Schizosaccharomyces pombe: one gene and its partners. Changing the gene in region 4 together with the main gene of any one other region gives a genetic interaction. Each region holds a gene or a part of one and is shown on either strand. Other genes may lie near its edges. The genes, in order: ura1, ura2, ure2 and ura4.

Region 1 (10,623 bases), on a different chromosome or scaffold from region 4:
TAGATAAGTAACATAAAAACGTACGTACTTTTATAAGTACGGCTGCTAAAATAAATAAATAAATAAAATAGCCGTGATACCTAATTCAGCACATCACTGAGTATCTTAAGTGTTTAAATAAAAAACGTGCTGAAAAATAATTACACGACTTTAATTATACAGTGGAAAATAAATTATAAGTATATCAACCTTTCATTCTATTCTAGAACTTAAGAATAAAAACCAAAACTTTTAAAACATAAATCAACACACCAAAATATAAAAAATCCAATTACCAATAAGATAACAAACGTAAGAAAGCCATTTTTAATTTGCTACTTCAGTAGCACCCATAACACAAGCGAGTAAAGCCATACGAATATAGAGACCATAACGCATTTGTCGGAAGTAAGCAGCACGTCTTTGATCAAAATCAACCTCTTCACTGATTTCACGATTACGAGGCAAAGGATGCATAACGATACAGTGGGATTTGGCAGAGGCTAGAACACTGTTGTCAACGATAAAAGAATCCTTTAATTTCTCATATTCATCAACACTAGCAAAACGTTCTTTCTGTACTCTGGTACAGTAAAGTACATCAGATTGTGCAACAACTTCTTTAGTCAACTCACGGTGCTCAATGAAATTCAATCCATTCGCACGAATATCGTCTTTCACGTCGTCAGGAAGTGCCAATTGTTCAGGTGATACAAGATGCAATTCGACATGCCAAAACGCAAGCAAACGAGCTAATGAATGAACGGTACGTCCGTATTTAAGATCACCAATAAACGTAATTGTAAGTCCATTGACACTACCTAACTCTTCACGAATGGTATAAAGATCCAAGAAAGCTTGTGTGGGATGCTCCTTCGAGCCATTACCACCATTGATGATAGGAACGGGAGAAAAGTTAGCAGCAATGCGTGCGCTTTCAATTGAAGGATGGCGCAAGACAATAGCATCACCATAACATCCAAGTGTACGAATGGTATCAGCCAAGCTCTCACCTTTATTGACACTAGAAGCACTAGCTGTAACAGCGACTACTTTTCCTCCTAAACGTTGCATTGCAGCATCAAAAGACGATGAAGTACGAGTTGATGGTTCAAAGAACATAGTACAAAGAAGTTTTCCATAGCACAAGTCAATCACACCTTGTCTTTCAACTATGATTCTCATTTGATGAGCAATAGCAAATAGTACATGCAAATCAGAACGAGTAACTTGGTGCACCGAAATGATATGCTTGCGATAGAAGGGCGAAGAGTTGATCAATTGTACCAGTTCATGAGAAGGCTTGAAATTAGGAGTCATGTTCAAGCTAATATCAGGATGCGCTTTGTTCTCTGGTGCTTGACCGAATGCTTCGGCAAGAGAAGGGGCAGCATGGGGAAGACCAGGACTCATCAACGCACTAACCTTTCTAGTTGCCTTAGATTTGTCAGCCAAACTAGCCGAAGAATAGTCACGACCATAAGTATGTTCGAAATTCAGTTCACCATCAAAGAATACATCATGACCGTCAAACTGAACAGATTGGATGCTACCATAAAGTTTCTTGCCATTGAAAGGGGTCCAGTCTTTGGAAGACCAGCTAACAGAACGATCAACTTCCAATTGAACGCCAGAATCGTCTTGATCATGCAAACGGAAAATGGCTTTAGGGTTCGAATAGAAGCGATCAACAACATCCTTTAAAGTAAGTCTACCTTCATTAACAGCTGTTAACAAAAGTGGAATTGCCTCGCGAACTCCAAAGCCAGTAAAAGCCGTATTACCCACGAACTTAGCAAGACGAGAAGGAATACTACCAATAGAAAAACAATCAATGTATGAGAGCTTATTCCATATCTCAACCTGATCATCAGCAGTAGGTAAAAATGTCGCTCCGGGATAATCATTTTGGTTCAAGAAAAGACTATAAACTGAAACATCAAATGTGACAGGAAGACTTCTTTGCTTAGCAAGTACAATCAAATTCAAATCGTCCTTAGAAGATACATTTGTAATATGAATCCTACGGTTATGAAGACTTGCCAATAACAATAACGAAGCTAAAGTTGTCGATTTGGCATCTGTCATCACAGTCTGCGTATCAGGCCATACGTTAAAATGAGAGGCAACTGCAGTAACATGATCGATACCAGAATCGTCTTTCTCAAAATGGAAAAACAAACAGCCAGATTCAGATGTGAGTTCAGAGATAGTAACTTCATTAGTTGAGGAGGCAATGACTGAAAAGTTGTAATCGCAATGAGCATGGTCTAAAGCTAACTTTTTAACAGCAGACAACGAATCCTTGTCTGCTAAAGTAGAAGACGTACTAAATGGTAAAAATCGAGCCATAGTAAAACCAGATGCAATACATTCTTTTGTATAGTCAGAAACGGCTTCAGAAGTAAATTCAGGAAGGAAAGCAGATATGTTAATCAAACCTGGTAGATTAGCAGTTTGGAAACTGCTCTGGAAATCTACTGTACTCAAGCTGAAATCCAAGTTTCTGCAAATTGCCTCAATCATAAGCTTTGCACATTTGACATTTGTAACCAAAGGGACTGAATAATCAATGGCAAGACGACGACTTTTATAACCACTGCTAATATAATTAGCAGGACGACGATAACGATTGTTGGAGGGCAAATTGATATACATGTCAATCATGTTGTTGGCTAAATGAGCGGAAAGTGAATACTCATTATTTGCTTCTTCAGCAGGAAGATCTGCAAGGTACTTGCAAGGAACACCACTTTCCATAAAGTAGTCTGAGGTACCGGCTGTTGCGAAAATGTTGTAATTGTTTTCATACAACTTCTTGACGTAAGGTAAAAGCTCCGCCTTTTCTTTATATGAACCAATAGATATAAGAATATTCTTTTTCGGGAGTCTAAAGCCGGTGGAAATCATAGCTTTAAGATAGGCTTCAAATTTATTGTGACCAAAACAAGCAACTTCACCAGTAGACGCCATTTCGACACCAAGGACGGGGTCAGCACCGGACAGTCTGCTGAAACTGAATTGAGGTACTTTGACAGCAACGTAATCGCGAGGAAGATCAACATCGGGGTAGGGTTGAATAGGATTACCCATAATGACATCTGTCGCCATTGAAATCATATCAACACCTATAACCTTAGAAACAAAAGGGAATGAACGCGATGCACGAACATTGCATTCAATTACTTTAATTTCGTTGTCCTTCGCAATAAATTGAATGTTATAAGGACCAGTAATATTCAAAGCTTCTCCAATCTTAGCAGCGGCGTCAACAATTCTTTCTATAGTCGTTGGAGCCAAATCTTGAGGTGGTAAAACCAAAGTAGCGTCACCAGAGTGCACACCAGCGTTTTCTACATGTTCGGAAATGACGTGCATAACCATCTTTCCTTCACGAGCAACAGCATCTAATTCGATTTCCTTAGCATTTTCAATATATTTAGAAATAACAACAGGATGATCTTTGTTAATTGCAACAGCTTGTTGCAAATAGCTATGCAGGTCTGACTGAGAATAGACTGTATTCATTGCGGCACCAGAAAGAACATAAGAAGGACGAACTAACACAGGATAACCAACTGTATCGCAAAATTTATCGGCCTCGTCGAAACTAGTTAATTCCTTCCACTTAGGCTGATCAACACCTATGTCATCCAGCATTCTAGAGAATTTAAATCTATTCTCGGCGCCATCAATCATTTCAGGAGAAGTACCGAGAATTTTAACATTTTCACGATGTAATGGCAAGGCTATGTTATTAGCGGTTTGACCACCCATAGCTATAATGATACCAGAAGATGATTCTTGCTCGTAAATATCCAAGACAGTTTCAAGACCGATATTTTCGAAATACAATCTATCGGCTTCATCATAATCAGTAGAAACAGTTTCTGGGTTATAATTAACCATAATAGTTTTAACTCCCCGATCACGAAGCGTACGAACTGCGCGAACTGCGCACCAGTCAAACTCAACTGATGAGCCAATTCGATATACACCTGAGCCAAGAACCATCACACCCTTATCATTGAAATGGATGTCATGCTCTACAGCATTATAAGTGGTATAAAGGTAGTTGGTGAAAGCTGGGAACTCCGCAGCCACTGTATCAATTTGTTTTACAAATGGTCTGATACCAGCTTCAGTACGGATACGTCTAACGGCTAATTCAGTAGAATTCATAAAAGCAGCAATTTGGACGTCCGCAAATCCTAATTGCTTGGCAGTCTTTAGAAGAGAAATAGGAAGACTAGATATATCATGCTTGGAAATCAATTGGGATGTACGAATTAATCCCATAAGCTTTTCAAGAAACCACTTATCGATACGAGTAAGCTCCCAAATACGGTCCACTGAATAACCAGAAGCCATAGCGTTGGCAATAGCAAACAGACGTTGGTCCGAAGGTGTTTGCAATTCCGTATCTATAGACATTAAAGCATCCTTAACGTTGAAACCAGTATTGCTATAATCGATAGCCCTGATGGCCTTTTGGATTGCTTCCTCAAATGTACGTCCAATACTCATCACTTCACCAACTGACTTCATTGCTGAGCTCAGCTGAGTGCTAACGCGAGTAAACTTCTTCAAGTCCCAACGGGGAATCTTCACGACAACATAATCAAGACTTGGTTCAAAGCATGCGCACGTAACCTTTGTCACTGAGTTTTTGACTTCGTTAAGTGGAATGTTAAGACCTAGTTTTGCTGCTGTGAAAGCTAGAGGATAACCGGTAGCCTTTGACGCTAAAGCAGATGAACGAGACAAACGAGCATTAACTTCAATGATGCAATACTCTTTTGTAAAAGGGTTCAAAGCATACTGAATATTGCATTCACCCACCACACCGAGGTGACGAATAACATTAACAGCTGTCGTACGAAGCATGTTGTAATCTTCATCGGTTAAAGTTTGAGATGGAGCAACAACAATAGAGTCACCAGTGTGAATACCGAGAGGATCAAAGTTTTCCATGTTACAGACGGTAATGCAGTTATCAAAAGCATCGCGAACAACTTCGTACTCAATTTCTTTCCATCCCTTCATACTGCGTTCAATCAAGACTTGAGGGCTGGTAGCAAAAGCAAGCGTACATAAATCAATGAGTTCCGCCTCGTTATCAGCAAAACCTGAACCAAGTCCACCAAGCGCATAAGCAGCACGGACAATAACTGGAAAAGAAATATCCTTCGATACTTTTATAGCTTCTTCAATAGATGAAGCACTAGCTGATTTTGCACATTTCTCGTTAATTTCATCCATTGCACGAGCAAAAAGTTCACGGTCCTCAGTGGTAATAATGGTATCAATAGGCGTACCTAAAACTTTAACGCCGAGTTGTTCGAACTCATCTTTCAGCTCAATACCAACATTCAGGGCTGTTTGACCACCAAAGGTAACATATATCGAATCGGGGCGCTCTTGTTTGATCACCTTACGAACAAAGTCAGCATTAACAGGTAAGAAGTACACTTTATCAGCAAGACCCTTAGATGTCTGAATAGTGGCAATGTTGGGATTAATCAAAATGGTGTAAATTCCTTCTTCACGAAGAGCCTTAATAGCTTGACTACCAGAATAATCAAACTCACCAGCTTGACCAATACTCAATCCTCCACTACCCAAAATCAGAACACGCTTAGCATCCACAAGTGGATGACGGGATCTGTTTTCTTCAATTGTTCCTCCAGGAAGCTTGAATGGCTGCAAAGACTTTGCATCAGCTGAACGCTTGACAACGTCAATGAATACATCAAAGAGAAATTCAGTATCGCGGGGACCAGGAGTAGACTCTGGGTGAAATTGCACAGAGAAAAATGGATACTCAGTATTATAGATACCTTCATTTGAACCATCGTTAGCATTGACAAAAAGTTCTTTCCAGCCATTTGATAAACTAGACGCATCAACCGCATAACCATGATTTTGGGAAGTAATGTAACATCTACCCGAGATCATGCAAGTGCAAGGGATATTGTGGCCACGGTTACCAAATTTCATTTTGGTGGTACTGGCGCCGGCAGCTCGAGCCATAATTTGATGTCCAAAACAAATACCGAAAACGGGGACAGTCTTTGACTCAAGCACCCGTTTTACCCGATCAACAACCAAGTCCATGAGGGAAGGATCACCAGGTCCATTGCTAATAAATAGACCATCATAAGTCTCTTTGGTAAAATCATAATCCCAAGGAACAACCAATAATTCAACACCACGATTCAAAAAACAACGAATTTGGTTATATTTCATACCAACATCAATAACAAGGATACGGATGATTTTTCCATCTGCTTTTTTGATAGCTGTAGTAGGATGGGGTTCATAAAGTTTGGGTTCTTTAATGGAAACTTGAGACGTTAAATTTTCAGTATTAGGATTTTTCCATGGTATATCTTCAAAAGCAGTACTCCAGTCTTTTCCGAGACCAGTAATTGAAGAAGGATTGATGGGGGATTCGTCTTTTTGAATAAGTAAACGACCTAACATAGAACCTTGGTCGCGAATTTTTTTAGTAAGAGCACGGGTATCAATACCAAAAATACCAGGAATGCCCTGTTCCTTAAGCCATTCTCCTAAAGAAGAATGAGCAAGAAAATGAGAATAATTTTGAGAATAAGATGAAATAATAATAGCAGCAACATGAATTTGATTGGATTCGAAATACTTGGGTAAGCCAGATATCTCGTCTAGAATACGACGATCGGGCACACCATAATTACCCACTGTGGGAAATGTAAAGACCAAAATCTGACCACGATAAGAAGGGTCGGTCAAAGACTCAGGATAACCGACCATACCAGTCTGAAAAACTAATTCACCGGAGACAGAGTGATCAGCTCCGAATGAATAACCTTGTAAAACACTTTTATCTTCCAATTCCAAGGCCATTAGCTTATAATCTTTCATCTCGCCATTCACAGAGTAGAAGGCAGGAGATGGAGAGCAGGTGGGCTCTTTAGGATCATTTTCAGATGGTTTAGGACCATGAGTCCTTGGCATCCCCAGAGCTTCACTCTGGACGAGTGGAAATGATGAAGACAATGAAGGTAGCAATCCGGACATCGCTTATATCAACAATTCCACAGATTTGAGGCTTAAGACTAGCGATTCCCAGATATTGCTTCTAAGGAGTGGTTGGTCTCAAGAAAGAATTTAAAACCTGAGCAGAAAAAAAAATACTTACGCTTTCGTCAAAGCACAATGTACACTAAAATTTTTACAGATAAATAAAAAAAATTAAATAAATCTATTCTAATTTTTAGAATTCAGTTTCTGTGTTAGGCAGTTTCTAACAATCCTATAGGACGAGAACTGGCAAATCCGAAAGAGTTGTTGGAAAATTTTTTGCTTGTCGTGGATTAACCAGTAGTGCGGTACACTGTGCTACGGTGTATGTTTAGGGTATGACATTTCACTTCCGCTTTTCGGTCTTCGAACCAAGGCATTTTATGAGCGGTCTACTTGATACAAAATTAAAGATTTATATTGCTTACCAACTAACTTGTAAAGGAGAATATTTTCTTTTTTTCTCTGAGCAAATATAAAAGTTTCATGTATGACGCAACCTGTTTTAAAAACACAACGCCATCTATGATTAAATATTGTTATTTTGGTTTACGTAATTTTTCAGCATCGGTATCTACATAACACAGTACTTAGGATATCGGTAATGAAGGGATAGCAGCCGATTTGTGCTTAATACATTAGTCAATGAAAGCTTGGTAAAGCCAGTAAACATATCAACAGCTCATCATAAGAATATCAGTAGAAAAACAAAACGATGTCGACCTATGGTATATTAAGAAAATTTAAAAGTAAAACCTTCGCAATAGTTTTTTTCTCATCACGCCGTTTGAGCTTTTAGCAATAAAAAGTCGAAAGTGGTTTTTTATAAAAAAATTGTATCTTTGGTAGTTTAGTATTTTAGGAACATTAGTAGTGAGCTTTTCCTAATAAAGTTATACTACAGTGAATGAGTTTGAGCTCTTATAGCATAAAGTAGTTTACTCATAAACCATCAGGTAACGTTAAAACGTATTGATTTATTCTACGTCTTTCAGTAGTAATTCGTGATCTGAGATATCTTAAACAGAGAATGGAAGAAAAAATAAAACAACATTTAAACCATGGTCAAAAATTTACCACAATACGAACAATGTAGCATTTTCCATCAATTGTCTGATGACCAGTATAATTCATGCATAAACAACAAAGGTTCCCTCCCCCATGTAATCCAATTAGGTGTGAGACTACGGCCAAAAATTTCTAAAACAGGAAGCGATTCATTTGCCGAACAATTAAACCAACGTGAAATGAAAGGTTTTAATGATGGTTTCCTGGAATGATAATCTGGAATACCAATTATTGTAAACGTTGGAGGGATTTTATCACTATATACAGATGTATATTCTGAAGTAACTCCAATCAAAAGCTGTTCCCAAGGTTTGCGCATGTTTGAATAAACATCAAATAATGGTTCGCCAAATGCCGTTATTTTAAGCCATGTCCATGTAGAGACAAGCGTTAAATTCCATTTTTTAAAAAGCACTTTTTTAACAAAATTTACATACTTTTCCTTATTTGTGCACCAAACTGCCACGACGCCGGTTTTGCTTAACGATTCCTGAATTGGTAATGCTTTTAAATATCCAAGGTTCCTGTTCACCTTATAGACAGAGCTCCTAGCTACAGATTTATTCGGCCATGGAGGGTCTATAATTATGCATTTGGGTTTTTCTAGATGGCCATCAATTGCTTCTAAAAGGATTTGCGCAGTTTTCTCCACGTCACCCATAATAAAAGAGGAACGAGCAGGGATGTAGTAAATTGAATCCCTACAATTAGTTTCAGACGATTCAGTAATAACCTTTGATCCCTTCAGCTTTAATTTTATAGCGGACGCTCCATCATTTTGGACACATTGTTGATAAATCTCTTCCAATCCAAGTTCAACTGTATCTTTAGACTTTATAGTTATAAATGAATATGACGGTGGAATAGTATTCAACATTTTCAACCATTGCAAGCACTGATCCTCAAACTGTATAACCGGTGCTTTAACTAGTACTTTGAAAATGTCTGAGTACCATTGCACTAAAGGAGCATTTTCAGCTTGAAAATGGATTTCTGATGCACTAGTATTTGACCTGTATACGATATCTTGAAATTGAACATGGTGTGATTTATCGGTTGATTGATTGTCATCCAAACTGCGCAACTGTAAAGCACGACGAACTCGCTGAAGGCTTTGCAGTACTTGCCCTACAGTGCCTTTGCCACTGTTTTCATAATCCGAAGTTGATTTTTCGGGGAGTAAATATGGCTTCACGACAGGCTTCGTTCGAGTGGGCAAAATATGTTTATTAAATTGCAGAGATGTTGGCAAGTCAATGAGACAACTAGTGTCGTCCATGTATAATATACATGGCATTAAAAATTACACGAATACCGAACCTCAAACAATCGTGATAAATGAAATGCACAAGGACACCGCTGAATTTCGTTATAGCAATCTATTAAATTAGTAGCTCAAAAAATAGCTTATGTGCGCTCAACTCAAAATAAGAAGTAGCGAGTTGAGTTAATTAAATTCAGTCGGATAAGAATAATTGAAAATACCGCTCTCGACGCGTGACAAACGTGTATACTTTATCGAAAGTTACTCGATAGGTTTCGTCGTACCCATCAACTGGAGTGCAGTTAAACTTATTATGCTTAATACCAAATATTGAAACAACAAATCTCTATTGATATTTTAAAAACTTCCATTTAATGATATTTTTTAAAACTAATTTACGAAAACCGAATCTAGTTAACGTAGTTCTTTCAAACTAATACGGAAACATTGGTGTGCGATTTTCGATACTCCCCACAATAACATTGAACGATATAAAAAATCCAAGCTATTAAGAAGTACAAATTTTTCTATTGAACGAATTAGGTAATCAAAGCATTCATAGCTTGCAAAAACCAATGTTTTGTGGTTAGTCAGCCTTCAAAATGGTAACAAATTTATATGCTGCCAGTACGAAATATTAATTACATAAGGAAAACGATATGCTTAGTCTTACAAATACACACCTACCTTATCTCGCCTTAACGTCTCCACTATCAAGTAAGCAATTGCTGGTGATGACTAAATATATTTAATAACAAGCATCATAAAGATCGTTAGGATAGGAATCTGCAAAAATCGGAGCGTAAATAAATAAGCAGTTAATGGCGTAATGTTTTCACAAAATGATAACCACACTATTATAAAGCCATTACTTTTTTGACGAGATAGCATCATACAATTTATTGATAGGATTCAAGCAAAGGACCTGCAATCAGTATATAAATACGCTTCGTTTTTATGTTCAATTCGATCTTAAATTTTAGTTTGCCGATTCTATAGAACATTTTGGCATTGGAGTTTATGAATTTTTAAAAAAAACAACGCAGTCCGGCATTCTACGGTATTTGCTTTCGACGTTAATATATATCGAAACGTGGAACCATATTTTATTCACATTAATTTCCTCATCGAACCAACTCCGGTTTATCTCCTCGGACATTTATTAGATGAACCTATTCGGCTCGTGAGATTTGCTATATAAACATTACTAAATTGGGAATTGTCGTTACCAATTTTTTTTGCGATCA
Region 2 (6,474 bases), on a different chromosome or scaffold from region 4:
TGGAATTACGTCTATACTCATCGCGACCACCACGACGGTATTCATCACGATTATTACGCCTGTATTCACCACGAGGAGCATAACGACGTTCATCATCTCTGCCGGGACGATAAGCGTCACGACGGTAATCGCCTCCTCTACGATAATCATCACGATAACGACGGCGAGCAGGTGGAGAACGTGAACGGAAGCGGGAGGGTACTTCGGGAAGGGGCTCATTAGCGGCATCCTGCTAATCGTTAGAAAATTTACGCAAGGATCTTTAAAAAAGATTAGATGCTTACAGGGTCTTCGCGTAAAGTAACTGCTTGGCCTTTAATGACTTCACCATTAAGGCTCGTCAAAGCGTTTCTCATATCCTCTTCAGTAGAAAATTCAACAACACTGCATTAAAGTTAGGTGAAAAAATGATCAAAGTAGAAACTTACCCAGCACCAGGGTTTTCACGGTGAGCATCTGTGAAAGTGGGTTCACCAGCTTTACGCATTACATCCTTCAGGTCCTATGAAAAGTGTTAACACTGAAATATAGATATATGAAAAAAATCATGCATTGACGCAAAGGTCATTAAATGTATAAAATTGTCTTACCTGCCAACTGACATCTTCTGAGAGATTTTCCACAATCAAACGGAAACCGGTGCGACGGGGACGGGGGTATCTGATACGTTAGTATAAAAATATTGCCGTAATTTTTATAGGACAATGCGATTTTGCAAGCGATAACACCGTATATAGTCACTACTCAGAGCTGATTCACATGTGAAGTGAACAAAATCGTTAGAACCAGCAATCGCGTGCAATGCCAAATCGCCCACTAATCACATATTAATGGAAACGTAACAACGTACTTAGAAGCAGCACTTTCTCTAAAGTTCTCTCTTCTTCTTCTTTCACCGCGAGCAGGTTCTACAACAATACTTCGAACATTAGCATATTTTAATCTAAATTCATAATGTATTGACTTACCGGCTGCCCATAAACTCTTTGCCCTCTTTTTTATAAGATTAGTAAATAAAGTCGAATATTAAACCTTTGAAGCATACGAAAGTCTAAACTGTTAGCAAAAGTTTTAAGATGGTATGAACGTACCATTTACGATATCACGAGCATCGCGAGCGTCTTCAACCTACATCAAGTTAGTCACATAGGGATTACAAAAAGAAGGCTAATGGTTTTATTTACCTCAACAAAGCCAAATCCATTCATCAGCTTGCAATCAAGGATTTGACCGTAACCTTTAAAAAAATCCATCATATCCTCGCGAGTCGCTAAATTTTTGTTAAAATACTATTTACATTATTTAGTTACAAACCTTGAGGAGGAATACGGCCAACAAACAATCTAGTCTCCGACATTTTTTTTTGGTGTAGTTGGTTCTTGCTGGGTGAAGTTCGACCCTCAGTCGGCAGTCTTGAGGCTGAAGGCCGGCGAAACCCAAGTTACAAAATATAAGATAATGAAATAAAATATAAAATCAAATTAAAAGAGATGGTGTTAATCAAACCTTGTCTAACGATTTTATGCATTCATCGGTCCACACTTTTTCCTAATATTGTATAAATGAAATCTGAGTAACTATCAACCATACTTCAGAGTGTCTATTGAAATGATTAAGAAGGTTAGATAATAATTAATTAATGGATCAAGATGGCGATGATAATTTCATCGACGGGATACTGTAAGTTTAATTAATCATGATTAAGGAGCTAGGATATCTAGTAGTCAAGATGCAACTTCAAGAAGTAACTGTTGTCTTTACAGTCATGTACGTAGGTTCTTATACGTATAATTTTCTTTTTCTATATTAATTATAAATAACTATAAAGTATTTTAGTAAACTTCAATGAATAATCCGAATTTGAGATAATGAAAACAAGTTTCTGCTCATTCACCAGTTCTCTATCTGGATGAAAAACTTTACGAAAATTTTGGAATTCTGAAAAGACTCTTGCCAGATGACACGCAATGTTTGCATTCGCCGACGCATAATGATTAACCCAATTAACTTCAAATGTTATTTAAAAATTCGTAAATCCAAAACATAAAAGCCGACAAGTTCAAAAAAATAGATAGAAAAAAAAACACATAATCAACATGTACTGAATTACTCCCATGAACAGTGCCATTGAAGAACTTCGTTTGGATGAAAAGGAACCAAATCATTGGCAACACTTTCAGGTACGCGAAACGACTCCTTTTTTAAGACGATATTAGACTCTTTGAAGTCTAAAGGAATACAATAAAATTTCCTACCAAAAATACATGCAAAATCCTTCAAAGCATCTAAACGACCCTCTTTATCAAACACTTCAGCTAAGTACGAAGCAGCGAAAGGTTGGGTAAAAACACCAGCTGCCGGTGGCGTCTTCAGTTTAGAAGACCTAGGATGAGGTGCAGAATCACTCCCAAAGAAAAACTTGGGATTTTTACTGGTAGCAGCTTCAATAAGAGCACGTCGGTCTCGTTCGGTTTTGGCTACCGGCTTGCAGAAACAATAAGGATCATCCTGCCAATCTTTTTGTGTGAGATAAAGATGATGGGCAGTTATAGTACCCGCAACACTTTCACCGCATGCTTTTACTGCCTCAACAGCGTCGGCAGTGGTGCAATGTTCAAGCACAATCTTGAGTTTTGGAAATCTTTGGTGAAGGTCTAGTAAAGTAGGAAGAAACTTGGGCTCAGCCGTAAAAACGGTGTTATCCTTAGAGGGGGGAACTTCTCCGTGAATGTTCAGAATCATACCTGTTTCTTGCATTGCAGCAAAGGTAGGATAAAAGGGTTCGTAGCTTTCAACACCACTTTCAGAATTGGTAGTAGCTCCTTTCGGATATGATTTAACTCCTCGAATTCCCTTTTTTGCAGCTTCGTAAATAACCTCAGGTGTAGTTTCCGGTGAGAGATAAAGACTCATTAAATAGGTGGTCTTGGAGTCAAGCTGCTCAATTTCTTTTTTATATTGCAAACAGGCATCAACGGTAGTAATTGGGGGGATTAAATTAGGCTGTTATACGCGTTAAAAAGTTAAACCTTTGTAACCTTCAAATAAATTTTTTGAATAGCACAATACTTATTACATACCATTACATACGCAACAGAGACTCCACCCTCTGCGACCGTTGGAACTACAGCTTTTAACATATTATCTTGCCTTAGATGAACATGCATATCAGCCAAACCAGGTATTTTCAAACTCATCTTGTATAGGTAGTGGGTATTGTCAAGTTGAGTAACTAGAAAGGTGCACTTTATACTTAGTGCTAAATTAAACCAAGAATAAACAATCTTAACAATTGGTAAAAAAATACTACTTAAAATTAGTATGTTTCTTTCAATATAAATTAGTGAGGGTAATATAATTACTTCAAAAAAATTTACTATACCGATAATTCTCCAACTAATTTCAAAGATTTAATTGATCGGAGTTAAACCAAATATTATTTCTTAATTCTTTTTATTAAAGTTCAGATGCCTAATTCTAAACATAAGAATTCACCAACAGCTTAATTATTAGACCACCGTCCTGACTCTTCGGAAGCATAGAGCTACTTGCTTAATCATTGAAGCTCCATTATTAGATCTACCTTAGTATAAAAGAAATCCGAAACGTGTAACTACTAGCATTTCCTGTTTATGTGTAAATATACAGGTACATAATATGAAGAATTATGGTCATCAGTACAAAGCAGTTTAAATTTAACTTAGTAATATCTTGGCATCTGAAGAATATACAACTCAATGAATAGCAGCATCTCAAAAGTGTGCATTCTAAACGTCTTTAAGATTTATACATTTCTAATTTCAATAGACAGTTACAGCCATTGTTACGTTTTACAAAACATAACTGTGTACCTAAAAGCATATAGCGTTAATATTACTATGCAGTTTTAGAGTTTTTTTTTATCTATTAGGCAATATGATTGCTTTTCGAATCTATCATGTAAACCGTTAATTTTGAATATTGCACTGCTACGTCGTATCTTATTTTCACAGACGCGCACAGAATCTAGAGAAAATATGCAGTTTGCATAAAGCAAACTACTAAATTCAAGGGAAATCGGATTTTTGGGTACTTAATGGCAGAATTGGAGACTGGAGCGGTTCCTATTCGGGAAGAGTATGCTTGAACCTCGCTTTCAATAGTCAATTACTAACTATACCTTAGATTTTTGGTGAAACAAGATGGAAATAAAAAACGAAAGCGTAAAGAGAGGGGTCAAAATAAACGGAGAGAAAAAATTCACGTAAAAGAGAACAACGCTCTTTGTCCAGCTATATCTATTGGGAATGAGTGTCCATATAAAGAAAACTGCAAATTCCCACACGATGTGGAGGCTTACCTTGCTACCAAGGCACCTGACATTGGAGACAAATGCCCTATATTCGAGCGGTATGGAGTATGCCCAGCTGGTTTCAAATGTCGCTGGCTAGCGGGCCATGTTGTTATCAATGCAGACGGAAAGTACGAGCTTATAAAAAAACCCGATGGGCAGTTTACGCTTTTTACCGTAAATACTGTTGGAAAAGAGGTACAGAGAAAGCTAAGAACAAAACAGTTAGATCTATCAAAGGCTGAAAGTATTATATCCGCAGTTTTAGGTGAAGAAAAGCCCGACCCTTCTTCAAAAGTATCCAATATTCCTGAGGAAAATAGAGATGCCACTAGTGCTATTTCCGAAGGAAAAGAGACAGAATCTGTTTCACTGGAAGAAACTGGGGTGTTAAAAAATCAAACCGTCTCGGTCAATGTCGATTTAAAAGAAATCTCTTCACAAGCTCGGTCAAACATCGCTTTACCTACTTTACGGCCTCAAGAAAAAAATCTCATTGACTGGCGAGACAGAAAGATTCTAGCTCCTCTTACCACCGTTGGAAATCCACCTTTTCGTCGTCTTTGTGGCTCTCTGGGTGCTGATACGTTTTACTCCGAAATGGCGATGTGTTATCCACTTATGCAAGGTCATCAACCTGAGTGGGCTCTTGTTCGTGGGCTAAACTATGAGCGTGAAATGATGCGAGGTGGTCGTCGTGGTATATTAGGGGTCCAACTAGCTACCGGAAAACTTTGGCAGGCCACTAAAACTGCACAAGTAATAGCTGAACAATGTGATGGCGTTGATTTTCTCGATTTAAATTGCGGTTGCCCTATAGATTTGGTATTTCGTCAAGGCGCCGGTTCTTCTCTTCTCGAGAATCCTGGCAGGTTACTTCGTAATCTCCAAGGTATGGATGCGGTATCTGGCCAAATTCCTGTCACCGTAAAACTTCGTATGGGAAACAAAGACGACCACCCAGTTGTCAAAAATTTAATTGGTAGAATTTTCAACGAAACAAACACTTCAGCTGCTACATTACATGGAAGATCTCGCCAACAGCGATATAGTAAAAACGCAAATTGGGATTATATTGGTGAAATTGCTTCTAAAGTAAAAAGTATGAATGAGAGAATAGATGAACTTCCTGAGGACTCCTTGCGTACCCAACCTCTTTCGCTGATTGGAAATGGAGACTGTTATTCATGGCAGGATTGGTATGATGGTGTTAACAAGGGTGTTGATACTGTGATGATTGCCCGAGGTGCACTCGTTAAGCCATGGATTTTTGAAGAAATTGAAGCTCGTCAGTTTATTGATAAGTCATCAACTCAACGACTCGAAATGTTGGAACAATACTGTAATAATGGTTTAGAGTATTGGGGTTCTGACTCTCAAGGAGTCAATACGACTAGGAGATTTTTCTTGGAGTTTATGAGCTTTTTCCATCGTTATACACCTATAGCTTTGTACGAAGTTCAAAGGCCCAGATTAAATGATAGACCGCCTCTATATACCGCGAGAGATGAGATGGAAACTCTCTTGGCCAGTAATAAAGTTACGGACTGGGTTAAATTGAGTGAGTTCTTCCTAGGTCCTACTCCTGAGCGATTCACCTTTACACCAAAGCACAAAAGCAATAGTGTGGAAGAGGCAGAGGGATAAACAACTTATGGTCTTAGTGTATCGAGCATTCACTTTCTTCATATGCATCATCAACTTTTCATACTTAATACTGGCTTATCATCTGGATTGAATTAAGTAGATTAATAAAATATCTGGTGACTTATATACGAGTGATCTGTGTTTGTCTCGTAAAATGCGCAAATGACTAGGCAAATTGGTAATGAATCTAACGTTATATAGTCAACTTACCCAATGGGAACTAACCAACGATCTTACAGTACTCTACAATTACTATCGAAACTACGTTGTGAAATAACTTAGCAAATATATGGTAAATAACACTGCCATACATATTTATTAACTTAAAAGGTATAATAATAACAGCAAGAGGATATTTGGTACAAAAATAACTTAATACACAATAAAAACCATTAAAAATCCAGAATCCCAAAATGACAAAACAAAAAATTAAAAAACAAAAAAAAAGCAAACAAAACAAACACAGCCATCATGTAGGTAATAAAGTAAGTGCAAAA
Region 3 (8,163 bases), on a different chromosome or scaffold from region 4:
TGAACGAAGCTGATCAGAGGTTAAACGAAGGGTTTTAGCATATTGAGGATATGACTCGGAAACTGGGCTCAAAGACTGTTCAGATAAAGAGTGTCGACGGCTTAAATCAGAGTCCTCATCCATTAAAGCCGAATCGGACTTTGGAGACGCAGGAGTGCGAGATGGACTTGCAGGAGGACTGTGTCCATAGACCTCCGCAAACTTTTTGGCATCTTCAGAAGCGTGAAACCACAGATTACCTTCTTCATCTTCACGCAGAAGCTTTTCAATCATGGGAAATTCATCCTTGAATGTTTCCCGTGCCAACTCTGCAATGTTTATATTCGCAGCAGAAGATTTATAACCTGTCATGTCAAGCATCACATCACCATTATCCCCAACACGTGTAGGAAGTTCTTTCCCAGAAAGCCTTTTCCCCAATTCCTTTGCCTTTTGTAACAATCGTAAGTCTGCTAGCGTTGTTGCAGGCATCGACGGAGTTCTATCACTTCCAGCCATTTCCAAACAACTCGAATGTCGAAGGTGCTTAAAGCCGGTTGGAGGTGTTTGATCGGCATCGGATTTCGAACGGCGAATTAAATCTCGAGTAAGAGGGAACTCGTAACCGTCCTCCATCAAATAGGTATTCGATTGATCTTTCTCATGATCCTGAGATACTTTATCGAGCTCGAGATCTTGAGGCTCAGTGACATTCTAAAGCAAGACTGTTAGTAATTTTCGTGATTGAGATAAACTAAAAGCCGAAAGTAGTTGTGCAGAATTCTGATACCGTATTCATTAAAATATTGCACATAACTGTTTTCCACCGGACAAGTCAGCCCCAGTTTACTTTTGTACATACAATGGATGGTGTTTGCTTTGGCGAAGTGGTAGGCGACACAATGGGAGATGTTTGAAGTTCTCGTGGAACTGCATTCTCAGTAGCAAATACAAAGAACGCTTCACCTCCATCCCCAAGTTTCATATTAAACCCAGTCAATTGACCATTGACCGAAAATTCAACCTTTTTGTCTGAGGGCAAAAGCAAGCTAAACTTTCCAAAGCGAACATGAAAAGGTGAACATGCTAATGTTTTATCCTCTTGCTCAACCACAATCACGTCAATGGCTCCAGAGAGAGTCGACTATTTACGAACACTGTTAGCATATTTGTTCAATTGTTTAACCCATCATTTCTAATTATTGAGAACTTACTGGATTAATTGCATTCCACGTCTTCGTAACAGAGTCAAACGCTCGTCCTACATATTGCATCGTGCAGCAGCTACGAACAGAGGTAAATGGGATGACTAGCATACCATTATGAGCAAAAGCGTGGGAGGAAGGGCGAGGCAACATCTATGGTCCCTGCGGTCTGTTACGTTATTTGACCTTACAGTCCCATACTATAACAAAAGTAAGCAATGTAAACAAACCACCGAACTTCATAACACTGAACTTGGAAAAAGCGACATTTTTCTTTTCTTTTATATAGATATATAATTTGTTTAGAAAAAATAGAGATTTTTTTATGAAATTTGGATTTTAAGGACCATTCTTGTTTTTGCAGGGTCCCACGCATAAGTCTCAAAGTAAAGATATTAGGAGAACTTTTGCATCCCTTTTTATGTTCCTTTGATTACTGAAGGGCCATTATTTGAAAATACACACGAATACTTTTGATTGTGGCTTCCTTTGCACGTTTTAATAATATTGTGGCACATCATTAACCATCACATTTACAATATCTCTTGTCATGGAAGAAAAGATTTCACAGGCGATTGACGATCCGAATGTATTTTGCTTTCAGGAATTATGGATTGAGTGCCAAGAGGTCCAGAAATCACAGCCTATAGACAGCGCCGTTCTAAGGACACTCGAGATATTCTGCAGAGGAGATATCAGAGATGCCTCATCTGAATGGAATGAATTGCGTTTCAAAAAACTTCGACTTCTTACACTTATCGATTTGGCTAATAGACATGTTGGAAGTTCCGTCTCATTTGAAACCATATTGGTTCATCTACAGTTAGATCGGCTTCCTCCCTCTGATCCTACCTTCACGGTCGAATATTATATCATGCAGGCCATGATGAATCAAATTTTAGTGGGAAAAATTAATGCAAAAACTCAGACTTTACATGTATCTTGGGCACTTGAAAGATTTCTCGATTCCAAAAGGATAGATGAAATGAAGTATTCCCTTGACCGCTTCATCGAAAGGTGCTCGAATATCCTTTTTCAATTAGATGCAGGAACGCCCAGTGTATCAAAGTCTTTTAAACGTGCTAGTCGCATGTCAAGTAGCGACGGAATCGATTACATGGTGTTTGATAAACGCCCTCGTCCGGACGATACTGACTTTGATCTATAATAGCATACAAAAACTTGTTTCCTCTCCTAAAAGCCATCTTATCAATATAAAGGTTGTTTCGAGGATATATGGACGGAACAATATAGTGCAGATGTTAATTACAAAAGTTGAGGATTTGACAAAATTAAATTTCGTATAGACGTTTTCTTTTATCTTACACCTGCCCTATTTTTTCCTTTCATGGTTCATCGAGATGTAAATTCAAAAGTTGGTGGTCTCGTTACTATGTTTTTTTTGTCTCGCATATACATTATGAGCGTTTTATGGTAGATAATGATTTTTTTAATAGATCTAATTAATATTTTAAAAATGGGTTTTGGTCATATAATTTTCATGCGATGATATAATTTGCTGCGTGTAAACACAACATACTATACTCAAATATAGACTGGAATAATAAGTATACTAATTATCGAGAAATGGTCGACATCAGTTCGTGCACAAAAAATAAACAATACTTATTTCCCTTTCCTTTTACTTGAATAAGTGCTCAAGCGAACTGCTACGTGCCAACTTTTGTAAACTTCATAGTTATGCTTTTTTTGACACCAATTCAACTTCATGCTTAGCTTTTCGTTACATTACCTTAGTTTCTTCTTGTTAGTTGCGTACAATCGGCGCACCCTGCCTGTTAGACTAAGATAAGATATATGGTGGTTAGATTAAATGCATCCTTCAGCAACTTACCGATAAACGTCTCAACACGAACTAATTTACAAATCCTTAGTCGGAAAGTGTAAAATTATATCGATAAAGTGAAAGGAAGCGTATCGGAGATATCACTCTAGCGTTGTTCCAACTATGCAACCCAGAGAGCTACACAAATTAACGCTTCACCAGCTGGGATCTTTAGCCCAAAAAAGGCTGTGTAGAGGGGTAAAGCTTAACAAGTTAGAGGCTACTTCACTTATTGCATCTCAAATTCAAGAATATGTTCGCGACGGTAATCATTCCGTAGCAGATTTGATGAGTCTTGGTAAAGATATGCTGGGTAAACGCCATGTTCAGCCCAATGTCGTTCATTTGTTACATGAAATTATGATTGAAGCTACTTTCCCTGATGGAACCTATCTAATTACCATTCATGATCCCATTTGCACTACAGATGGTAATCTCGAACATGCTTTATATGGAAGCTTCCTGCCCACGCCAAGCCAAGAACTGTTCCCTCTGGAAGAGGAAAAGTTATATGCTCCGGAAAATAGCCCTGGTTTTGTTGAAGTCTTGGAGGGCGAGATTGAACTATTGCCTAATTTACCTCGTACTCCCATCGAGGTACGAAACATGGGTGACAGGCCAATTCAAGTTGGATCACACTATCATTTTATTGAAACTAATGAAAAACTATGCTTCGATCGCTCAAAGGCTTATGGAAAGCGCTTGGACATTCCGTCAGGTACTGCTATTCGATTTGAACCTGGCGTAATGAAAATTGTCAATTTAATCCCTATCGGTGGTGCAAAACTAATTCAAGGAGGTAATTCACTTTCGAAGGGTGTCTTCGATGATTCTAGGACTCGGGAAATTGTTGACAATTTGATGAAACAGGGATTCATGCATCAACCTGAATCTCCGTTGAATATGCCATTACAATCTGCACGCCCTTTTGTTGTTCCTCGTAAATTATACGCTGTAATGTATGGTCCAACAACGAATGATAAAATTCGTCTGGGAGATACAAATTTGATTGTGCGCGTGGAAAAGGACTTTACTGAATATGGAAATGAATCTGTTTTCGGCGGCGGAAAGGTTATACGTGATGGTACGGGACAGTCTAGCTCAAAATCAATGGACGAATGCTTGGACACTGTAATTACAAATGCTGTAATCATTGATCATACCGGTATCTACAAGGCTGACATTGGCATCAAAAACGGATATATCGTAGGTATAGGTAAAGCAGGAAACCCGGATACAATGGATAACATTGGAGAAAACATGGTCATTGGATCTTCTACAGATGTTATATCAGCTGAGAATAAAATTGTTACTTATGGTGGTATGGACAGCCACGTTCATTTCATCTGTCCTCAACAAATTGAAGAGGCATTGGCTTCCGGTATAACTACTATGTATGGTGGAGGAACTGGCCCTAGTACGGGAACTAATGCTACTACCTGCACCCCAAATAAAGACTTAATCCGTTCCATGCTTCGTTCTACTGATTCTTATCCCATGAACATTGGTCTCACCGGAAAAGGAAATGATAGCGGTTCAAGTTCTTTGAAGGAGCAAATAGAAGCAGGCTGCAGTGGACTTAAGCTTCACGAAGATTGGGGATCTACTCCCGCAGCAATTGACAGTTGTTTGTCTGTTTGTGATGAGTATGACGTTCAGTGCCTAATTCATACCGACACCCTCAATGAATCCTCTTTTGTAGAAGGTACATTTAAAGCTTTTAAAAATAGGACCATTCACACGTATCACGTTGAAGGAGCCGGTGGTGGGCATGCCCCCGATATTATTTCTTTAGTCCAAAATCCAAATATTCTTCCCTCTAGCACCAATCCCACACGACCATTTACTACAAATACGCTTGATGAGGAACTGGACATGTTAATGGTATGCCATCATCTTTCTAGGAATGTTCCTGAAGACGTTGCATTTGCAGAATCCCGTATTCGTGCTGAAACAATTGCTGCTGAAGATATTTTACAGGATTTGGGAGCTATTAGTATGATTAGTTCAGACTCTCAAGCCATGGGTCGTTGTGGTGAAGTAATTTCAAGAACTTGGAAAACCGCCCATAAAAATAAGCTACAACGAGGAGCACTTCCTGAGGACGAGGGTTCAGGTGTTGATAATTTCCGTGTGAAACGTTATGTATCCAAATACACTATAAACCCTGCAATTACTCATGGAATTTCTCATATTGTTGGTTCTGTGGAGATAGGCAAGTTTGCTGACCTTGTCTTATGGGACTTTGCTGACTTTGGGGCAAGACCCAGTATGGTGCTGAAAGGAGGAATGATTGCATTGGCCTCTATGGGTGATCCAAATGGATCGATTCCAACGGTTTCTCCCCTCATGTCCTGGCAAATGTTTGGTGCACATGACCCCGAGAGGAGCATTGCATTTGTTTCCAAGGCCTCTATAACATCCGGTGTTATTGAAAGCTATGGACTTCATAAGAGAGTTGAAGCCGTAAAATCTACGAGAAACATTGGGAAGAAAGACATGGTTTACAATTCATATATGCCAAAAATGACTGTTGATCCAGAAGCTTACACAGTTACTGCAGATGGTAAAGTTATGGAATGTGAGCCTGTAGACAAACTTCCACTTTCCCAGTCTTATTTTATCTTTTAATTATTTAGATTTTGATTAAGGAAGATAATGCGAGTTTAATTAATATGAAATTTTGTTTGTAAATTTCTTTACAGTTGTTTGAGGCCGAGAAATTCCATATCAAATTTTAAAAGACCAATTACTATTTAAGTTTATAAATATAATATACTCCCGCTTATGAGTTGGTGGATCAACCTTGTTTGCTTACTACCCACGTTTTTGCTTTAAGGTTATATAATTCTTTTCAAACACTAACAAATATTTGTCACAAATTCATATACTATAAACATTCAGAAAAGTTGTATTTGAGCTAGTGTACAGTCGTATTCGTTAAGTCAGAGTGAACTTCGTCGCTTACCAAAGCGGTAAACAACACCTACAATCAACGTTCGATGAGCCTAAGTGACTAAGCTGTGAAGAGATTAAGACTTTCATGAAAGCGTTATTAATAATTTCTTTTAATCATGAAAAAGTTCTTGTCATTCAAGCCTGCTGAAGACTTCCTTCGATCTCTTAAAAAATCATCACAATGGTTTCTGCTGATCATTATTGTCGAGGTTACCATTACATTATCTTTTGAAGGATATGTTTTTCATCATTTTCGTTTAATCACAGTCGAAAAAATTGATGTCTTTATAAATGCTATGGTGCCGTCTACATTTGCACTGTTTTGTATGGCATGTCCCTATTTACTTTATACGGCTGTAGATGCATTATTAAACAAGGATGTAATACAGGTAAGTTAATTGTCTCCAAAAAAAGCTAAAATGGCATTGTTTGTCTTTTGTCGATTCATATGGTTGACGCACTTGAGATCTAAACCAATTCAAGCTAACCGAATTATACGTTTAGATGTCAGCACTTCTTATCTTTCATGTAAGCCTTTTTTGCCTATCTGTTGTCCAATATTTTCAAATATTTTCAAAAGACCCCAGAGCGATTTTCCTCTCCGCTTTATACTTAATAGATCCCATTCGCCTCGTCACATCATTTAACTATCACGAAAGAATAGTTGTTAATTCTCATATGTTGTTATTTTATCTGAAGCCATTTGTAATCGCTCTTCCGGTGCTAATCGGCGTTACTTGTATCTTGCTGAGCTTCTTGGTTTACAAAATGAACAAAGCATTTGGATGGATTATGTATCAGCAGCATGGTCCTGATCTTCGAATGAGAAGAAGGTATCTCGTATACAAAATATTCATGTCCTTAATTAAGTCGGACTATTATTTTTGCCTAACGGCTACTGTTCAATATGCTATCTTCTTTTCTACCATAAGTCGTGTTGGGCTAGCACTAACCATTCTTGTCTTCCCCTGTACAATCGCAACTTTGATGACCTGTAGGTATGCTGTTTACAGAGAAAATCGTGCATTGTTAGGGATTGTACAGTTTATGTTTATGTGTGGACTTGCATATTTTATTTACAACTGTGCTAGGCTATACCTAGGCGTCGACTATGGGGATATTGCTGTTGCAAATATTTGTATGTTGGTGTTTTCAATAGTCACCATAATTTATTTGTTCACAACCATAGTCGTAGGGTTTTATTGCATTTCCAACTTCGGTTATGGTCTTAGGGAATATTTACGCTATATCCATCAAAAGCAAAAAGTCAATGCGGCTCCTGCTGTTCCTAAAGTTCGCATGCCATTGGACGACTGAGAGCTCTCTTTCTTTTGGCATTCTAAAAATGTGTTTTCTTGTTGTTTATCAATGTTCCTCATCTCTCTGTCCTAATCATCGTTTGTTTTCTTACGCCTGTTGAATTTACTGTTTTCCATTTCGTGTTTCCTTGCATTCCTTGGTAGGTGAATATTTTGTGCTCCGATCTCTTGTACTGTGTTTTTCCTTCATTTGACCTTTAATACATATCTTTTTTGTCTTTGTTAAAATTTATTGCTTTCGGTCCTTCTTTTGAAAGCTCAGTCTTCTTGCCTATAATTCACAATTTGAAAAAAAAAAAAAAAAAAATCTCCTAATTCATGCTTCATTGCTCATATCATTGCTATTATTAAAAACAAAATTCTCAACATGCTATTACAATGATTTAGTTGAGTAAACATTTTGAGCTGGTTCTTTTCTTATACAGGAAAAAAGGTGATAGCTAATTGGAGTTGACCATTTCCTTACGGAAGTTTTAGAACGAATATATCGTTCTGTGGCCTACAAGGATTTTAAGTCAAAAAATTCTATCATTTTTCTGGTTAAGAAGGAATGTTTATTAGTTGTTAACTCACACTTGTGATATTGTTGATTGTAGTGATTGAACCGTTTCTTTAAAAGTTTTTTGAATGATCTGAACTAATTTGATACAAATAGTTAAGTCTAGTCTTTTCTGTTTATTAATAATCCTAATTTATTAATAATGCTAATAAATAAATTAATTGTATAACGTAAACATATATTTTTATTTATATACCGCGTTTGAATAATAATACCCAGTTTTGGGACAATAATGGGATACCGTTCCTAATTACCTCCATAATTTGATTTCTTGTTTTAATATGACGATATATCGTA
Region 4 (6,177 bases):
CAAAACCTTTGAATTTTCCGTTAATCGTTCTTTGGAAAAAGAAAATGAGATTCTAAACATCTAACTCCGTTACTTGCATCATGAGAAAGGGAGAAGAACAAAATGTTAGCTACAATGAAAAAGGATTACTTTCGAAAATTCACTATTCCACATCCGTTTTCCCAAATCCATCCTTTGCTACTGATATACTTCATTATTATTGCACTGATGTATTTGTATATAATAACTCTTAGGAAACCCAAATTCATCCTACCTTCTAGTTCGGTAAATCGTATAAACATAGACACTTAGCTTACCATTAATGTCTTTTGTGATGTAATAGTCCTTGTTAAAACTTATAGCGATGCAGTACGTACGATATTTTGCATCTTTACTGTACCTTAAATAATTGCTGAATAGACACGTGGAATGTGTTTGTATACGTACTTATCAATTACCAGTCAGATGGTAGAAGCGGTAAAATCGTGATATTTGAGTATTAGCTATAAAATAAATTTTTCACAACGTTTCAATATATTTTAATACTCTTTTTAAAATTTTTTAGAGAGATTTTGACGAGCAATTGATGCGTGAGACGCGTTTGTCAATTTTTCCACCTTTCTCGCTCTATTCATAGCACTGGCTAATTGTGTCGCAATACCACGGAAAATTGATTTGACGAACACAAGTGTGGTCTTTGTGTTAACATTTCTAATTCGTAAATGAATTCGAGGACTCAAAAATTTGCGGTTCGTTATACCACGTCGGGGTTTGCGCCATTTATCTGTTCATAGATACCGCAAAGCAAATCGTGAGCAATAAATTTTGAAAAGGTATCTACAGTTCCGAGAGGTGCAGGAAGTGATGAATCGAATTTGATGAAAATTTCTCACCTATTTTAGAGGGGAAACTACAGTGACTTTCTTGAAAGCAATTAAACAACCTTGAAAATGAATCAAACTTTTTTCTTAACGTTACTGCTGATATTGATGTGAAAATTAAACAAGAAAAACATCATCACTTCGTTAAAACCTTAAAAATTCAAAATTTCAAAGGAATAATTAACACCCGGGCATGCATACTACCCGATAACGTAATCTTCTCTATTGCCATTTTCTTTTTCTTTTTAATAAAAATGGCTGTCTAGTAAACACTTTGTCTCAGCGTTTCTTGCCTTTTTACAACAGTCAAATACCGAATATCGCACGAACCATTGAAAACGCAGCTGTGCGCGGTCTCAGTGCCGGTTGGGATTTTCCACCACTCGCAGCCCACAAAGCTCTTCATACAAAGATGAAGAACAGTAAAGAAAAAAAATCTTCCATCCCGACAAATTTGGTGATTTGACGTCACCAAAAGATTCGTTTTTGTAGAAAGGTATATATATTAACGACATGTGCCCATTTGTCTTGATAATACTATCTTTAAACTTGAACGACATTTTTTGAATACGCCGTTACTCCTAAAGATTTTATACCACTTGCTTTAACTTTTACACAAATTTATTACTACTATTAAAAATGGTTGCTGTCGGATCTACTTTGCCTAAAGTTACTCTTTGGGAAAACAAGCCCGAAGAGGTTGTTGAATTCCCTTCTCAAGGCAAATTCATCATTGTCGGTGTTCCCGGCGCTTTCACTCCTCCTTGTTCTTCTCAAGTTCCTGGCTATATTGCAAATGAGAAGCAATTTGCTGCCAAGGGCATCAGCGGAATCTATGTCGTTGCCGTAAATGACGTTTTCGTCACCAAGGCTTGGAAGAAGTCTTTCGACGGTGGTGAGCAAAGTGGTGTTCACTTTGTCGCCGACTGGAACGGAGAGTTTACCAAGGCCTTTGATGCTGGCTTCGACGCTAGCGGTCTTTTGGGCCCTCTTCGCTCCAAGCGTTATGCCGCTGTTGTCGAGAATGGCAAGGTTGTCAAGGTTTTCATTGAGAACGAGGTCACCGATGTTGATATTTCCTCCGCTGACAAGGTCCTTAGCTCTCTTTAAATCTGATGAACTGTTGTACTAATTGTTTTGATGGGAATGTTTTTTTCCTTTAATGAACGAAACTTAGAATCAAAAAGATAAGCTCCTTATTTAAGGGCGTTTGAAATGATGGAGATAAAGCACTCCATATTTGAGTTTTTTTTGTCATTGTGATGATATATGTTTAGATTTATGAAATTTTATACACAATTATCTTAACAACTCATTGTTTGAGTACTAGTACAATTCTTTATAAGAAAGTAGATATGCTTAAAAAATTAATGTCAAGTAAAACGTTGAATCGATTACAATAAGTTTTCGTAACACGATTGAAAATCGGTAGAAGTTGAAATGGATATTCTAAGTGGTGGTATCAAAATAATGACTAGAAAGATGTAAGCACACCTTCAATGTATCATAATCAATGTCAGATGAATTTGGGTAATGAAAAACGTTGGCCACAGTTGGGGGCGTCTTCCTCTAGATGCTCGTCTTCTACAACCGTTCTTTACCTCAACCTTTAAATTTTCAAAATCTCCTTTTTAATAACAGTTTTCATTTTTGGGTTCTTTTTACTCATTTGTATTTCATCTTCGATGAAAATAGCTAATGTCTTAACTTTATCGTTTGCTGCAATTATTGCTGCTTCTTCCCTGGCGGTTGTAGTTAGTCCTATCACAGACAATTCCAGGGAGACAGCTTCATCCTCCATTTCTCAAAGTCCTCCTAGTCAATGGTCAAAAAAACAGTTAATTGAGTATTGTAAAAAAAATTCACTTAAAACTAGCGGATCTCATGAAGAATTGGTTATCCGTGTGCAAAATCATCTTCGTACCGCCTCTAAAAAAGTTGATGCCAGACCGTAATGACAAAACAGCTTGTATAGATTTTAATATGTTTTCGATGCTTACATAATGAGTGAGTGTCATTATTGAGGAATGCCATGTCAGATTTGACACAACTCAGAACTTATTAACTTTTTATGATTGGAACTTTTGTTTTGCCCAAGGAATTTTTAATGGAAGAAGTTGTTTTATAAATGATATTGAATTTATATCCACTCTTTTTAGCGCATTTGCATCTCTACTTTAGGTTCTTCTTTGACTAGATTCTAGGATGCGTATTGGATATACTGGTCTTTGAATCATTGTCGAAAAAAAAATTCATGGTTGTACCCATGAGCAAACTGCTTTTGTGGTTATCCATGTGCTTCTTTTGTTCAGCATCTATCTTCTTAATCGCATGGAAGATTTGATTTAAACCAAAAGAAATATTGTTAAACTTTGACAGAAGCTTTAAATTTTGATTCCATACATTAAATGGATAAAACTCCTGAAGCTTAGCTACAAATCCCACTGGCTATATGTATGCATTTGTGTTAAAAAAGTTTGTATAGATTATTTAATCTACTCAGCATTCTTTCTCTAAATAGGAATTTGTTACTTAATGGAGAAAAAAATGTTTCGATTTACCTAGTGTATTTGTTTGTATACTCACGTTTAATTTCAAACATCCATTCTATCTTGTGTAATTTTTGGCATGGTGAAAAAGATAATCAGCCTTATAATCTTTACAAAAGTAAGAAATTCTGTAAATAAGCCTTAATGCCCTTGCTTTAAATTAAAATGGTTCTTTTTCATGATAATGTTTGCACTTTGTGAATATATTTTAGATAGTTCTGTGAGGTATAATTAAGATGTTTTAGAGACTTATACAATTTTGTCTTTATAAATTCTTAATTGATTTTACCATCCCAGTTTAACTATGCTTCGTCGGCATCTCTGCACATGTCGTGTTTTCTTACCGTATTGTCCTACCAAGAACCTCTTTTTTGCTTGGATCGAAATTAAAGGTTTAAAAGCAAAGTTATGGATGCTAGAGTATTTCAAAGCTATTCAGCTAGAGCTGAGGGGATGAAAAATCCCATTGCCAAGGAATTGTTGGCTTTGATGGAAGAAAAGCAAAGCAACTTGTCAGTCGCGGTCGATTTGACGAAGAAATCCGAAATCTTAGAATTGGTAGATAAAATTGGACCCTATGTCTGTGTTATCAAGACACATATTGACGTTGTCGAGGATTTCGACCAGGATATGGTAGAAAAACTGGTGGCCTTAGGTAAAAAGCATCGTTTTCTTATCTTTGAGGATCGCAAATTCGCAGACATTGGAAATACCGTCAAGCTACAATATGCATCTGGTGTGTACAAAATTGCTTCTTGGGCTCATATCACAAATTGCCATACAGTGCCAGGCGAGGGTATTATACAAGGCCTCAAAGAAGTTGGTTTACCTTTGGGACGTGGTCTCTTGCTTTTGGCTGAAATGTCTTCCAAAGGCTCTTTGGCTACTGGTTCCTACACAGAGAAAACCTTAGAATGGTTTGAGAAGCATACCGATTTTTGCTTTGGCTTTATAGCTGGTCGTCGATTTCCTAACCTTCAAAGCGACTACATAACTATGTCCCCTGGTATCGGCTTGGATGTTAAAGGAGACGGGCTGGGACAGCAATATCGTACTCCTGAAGAAGTGATTGTAAACTGCGGTAGCGATATCATCATTGTTGGTCGTGGAGTCTATGGAGCTGGTCGTAATCCTGTTGTCGAAGCCAAGAGATATAGAGAAGCTGGTTGGAAGGCATATCAGCAAAGACTTTCTCAGCATTAAAAAAAGACTAATGTAAAATTTTTTTGGTTGGTTATTGAAAAAGTCGATGCCTTGTTTGCGTTTGTTTTCCTAGGCGTTTTATGTCAGAAGGCATTTAGAATTAGTATACAAGTACTCTTTGGTAAAATTTTATGTAGCGACTAAAATATTAACTATTATAGATAAACACCTTGGGAATAAAAAGTAATTTGCTATAGTAATTTATTAAACATGCTCCTACAACATTACCACAATCTTTTCTCTTGGATTGACATTGAATAAGAAAAGAGTGAATTTTTTTAGACTTGTAATGATAACTATGTACAAAGCCAATGAAAGATGTATGTAGATGAATGTAAAATACCATGTAGACAAACAAGATAAAACTTGGTTATAAACATTGGTGTTGGAACAGAATAAATTAGATGTCAAAAAGTTTCGTCAATATCACAAGCTTTATTATTCAAAACTAGTATACTTTTTCTCGGAGTATAATACACAATATCGGTGCAAATAGGTTTTAAAATTGCTCCAATCACATGTTCTTAAGAAAAAAACGTCAAAAGAAATCTAAGTATTCCCAAAATAATTCCTCCTGACATGAGAAGAATAAAAAACACTAAGATGCATTGTCAGTATGAAACACAAGCCAAAGTTGCTAACAATAGGATCAATTCTTACTTACTGGCAATGTTACGAGGAATCTTGGTAGGAGGATGTTTGGCAACATAACGTTCTTTTGAATTTGTTTTTACACGACGAGTAATGTTCTTCTGAAACTGTGTGTTTGCACGACGCTGAGAGGGAGTTTGAACCGTCTAAAAGACATAGTTAGGATCCATGATGCACAGATTTCTAAAGATAAAACTACTTACAGGCATGTTGGTTTATTAAAAAAGAAAAACAGGAATGATAAGAGGGAAAGAATACGTGTACAGAGCAAGTGTGGAAAGATATGCTGAAGACGTTTGTATGAACAATGCCAAGCTGTAAAGCTAGACTTTCAAAGTACACACTAATACGTTATACTATATACCAAACAAAAGGGTACGAACTTACAGTGTTTACCAATGTCAGCAATACTACACTACGCTATGATACACTACGTTGTGTATCACTATATGTCACATGTTCTAATTATATATCGTACCATGTATGATACGATATGGAGATTAATCTTAATGATAATCTATTAAGATCTATATTATCTGAATACTATAAATAGAGCTACTGCTGAACCTCGTTCCTCAGTTCAGTTATGAGCTATATTAGTGATAGGTAACATTATAACCCAGTTAATACAATACCTATACTCAGTTGCTACTTATACAACCCGTGTATTGTAATATAATAGATCACAAGGAAAACTCACCGCAGTTCTACGTATCCTTAAATCAGATACCAAACTGCGTAGCTTACAACCAAAAAACCAAACAGTTTCGATAAAAAAAATAGTGATAAGATGCATTTCCATTATAATCCTCTATTTAGTAAACATGTGAATTAATATTTATAACTGTCGAGAAGAGAAATATTCAGTGATCGATAAGCAAAAATGAATATTAGTTATAAAAGGTAATAGGAAA

Evidence for each region.
Region 1: of ura4 (region 4) and ura1, a mutation in one rescues a mutant of the other (synthetic rescue), as found in Schizosaccharomyces pombe (one study listed by BioGRID).
Region 2: of ura4 (region 4) and ura2, a mutation in one rescues a mutant of the other (synthetic rescue), as found in Schizosaccharomyces pombe (one study listed by BioGRID).
Region 3: of ura4 (region 4) and ure2, a mutation in one rescues a mutant of the other (synthetic rescue), as found in Schizosaccharomyces pombe (one study listed by BioGRID).

The regions. Positions count from the first base shown.
Region 1 is NC_003424.3:738,994-749,616, forward strand, and holds ura1 (bifunctional carbamoyl-phosphate synthase/aspartate carbamoyltransferase Ura1), read right to left. Parts: upstream 7,122-10,623; 5' UTR 7,042-7,121; coding exon 307-7,041; 3' UTR 174-306; downstream 1-173. Other genes in the region: ime4 (mRNA (2'-O-methyladenosine-N(6)-)-methyltransferase), read right to left, coding at 8,150-9,409. UniProt on the Schizosaccharomyces pombe protein: Multifunctional protein that encodes the first 2 enzymatic activities of the de novo pyrimidine pathway: carbamoylphosphate synthetase (CPSase; EC 6.3.5.5) and aspartate transcarbamylase (ATCase; EC 2.1.3.2).
Region 2 is NC_003424.3:4,425,609-4,432,082, forward strand, and holds ura2 (dihydroorotase Ura2), read right to left. Parts: upstream 3,219-6,474; 5' UTR 3,198-3,218; coding exon 3,081-3,197; intron 3,004-3,080; coding exon 2,107-3,003; 3' UTR 1,695-2,106; downstream 1-1,694. Other genes in the region: srp2 (guard protein for 5'-capping of pre-mRNAs Srp2/Npl3), read right to left, coding at 1-229, 285-384, 429-502, 591-660, 851-919, 969-993, 1,046-1,051, 1,092-1,128 and 2 more; tRNA dihydrouridine synthase Dus3, read left to right, coding at 4,076-4,116, 4,165-5,977.
Region 3 is NC_003424.3:4,984,236-4,992,398, reverse strand, and holds ure2 (nickel-dependent urease Ure2), read left to right. Parts: upstream 1-3,029; 5' UTR 3,030-3,153; coding exon 3,154-5,661; 3' UTR 5,662-5,858; downstream 5,859-8,163. Other genes in the region: lipin, phosphatidate phosphatase Ned1, read right to left, coding at 1-693, 842-1,123, 1,194-1,253; csn71 (COP9/signalosome complex subunit 7a), read left to right, coding at 1,735-2,352; SPOM_SPAC1952.10C (uncharacterized protein), read left to right, coding at 6,105-6,377, 6,493-7,305.
Region 4 is NC_003421.2:114,216-120,392, reverse strand, and holds ura4 (orotidine 5'-phosphate decarboxylase Ura4), read left to right. Parts: upstream 1-3,767; 5' UTR 3,768-3,817; coding exon 3,818-4,612; 3' UTR 4,613-4,804; downstream 4,805-6,177. Other genes in the region: thioredoxin-related chaperone Pmp20, read left to right, coding at 1,500-1,970; protein new25, read left to right, coding at 2,546-2,815; protein tam14, read right to left, coding at 5,137-5,210, 5,277-5,409, 5,467-5,472.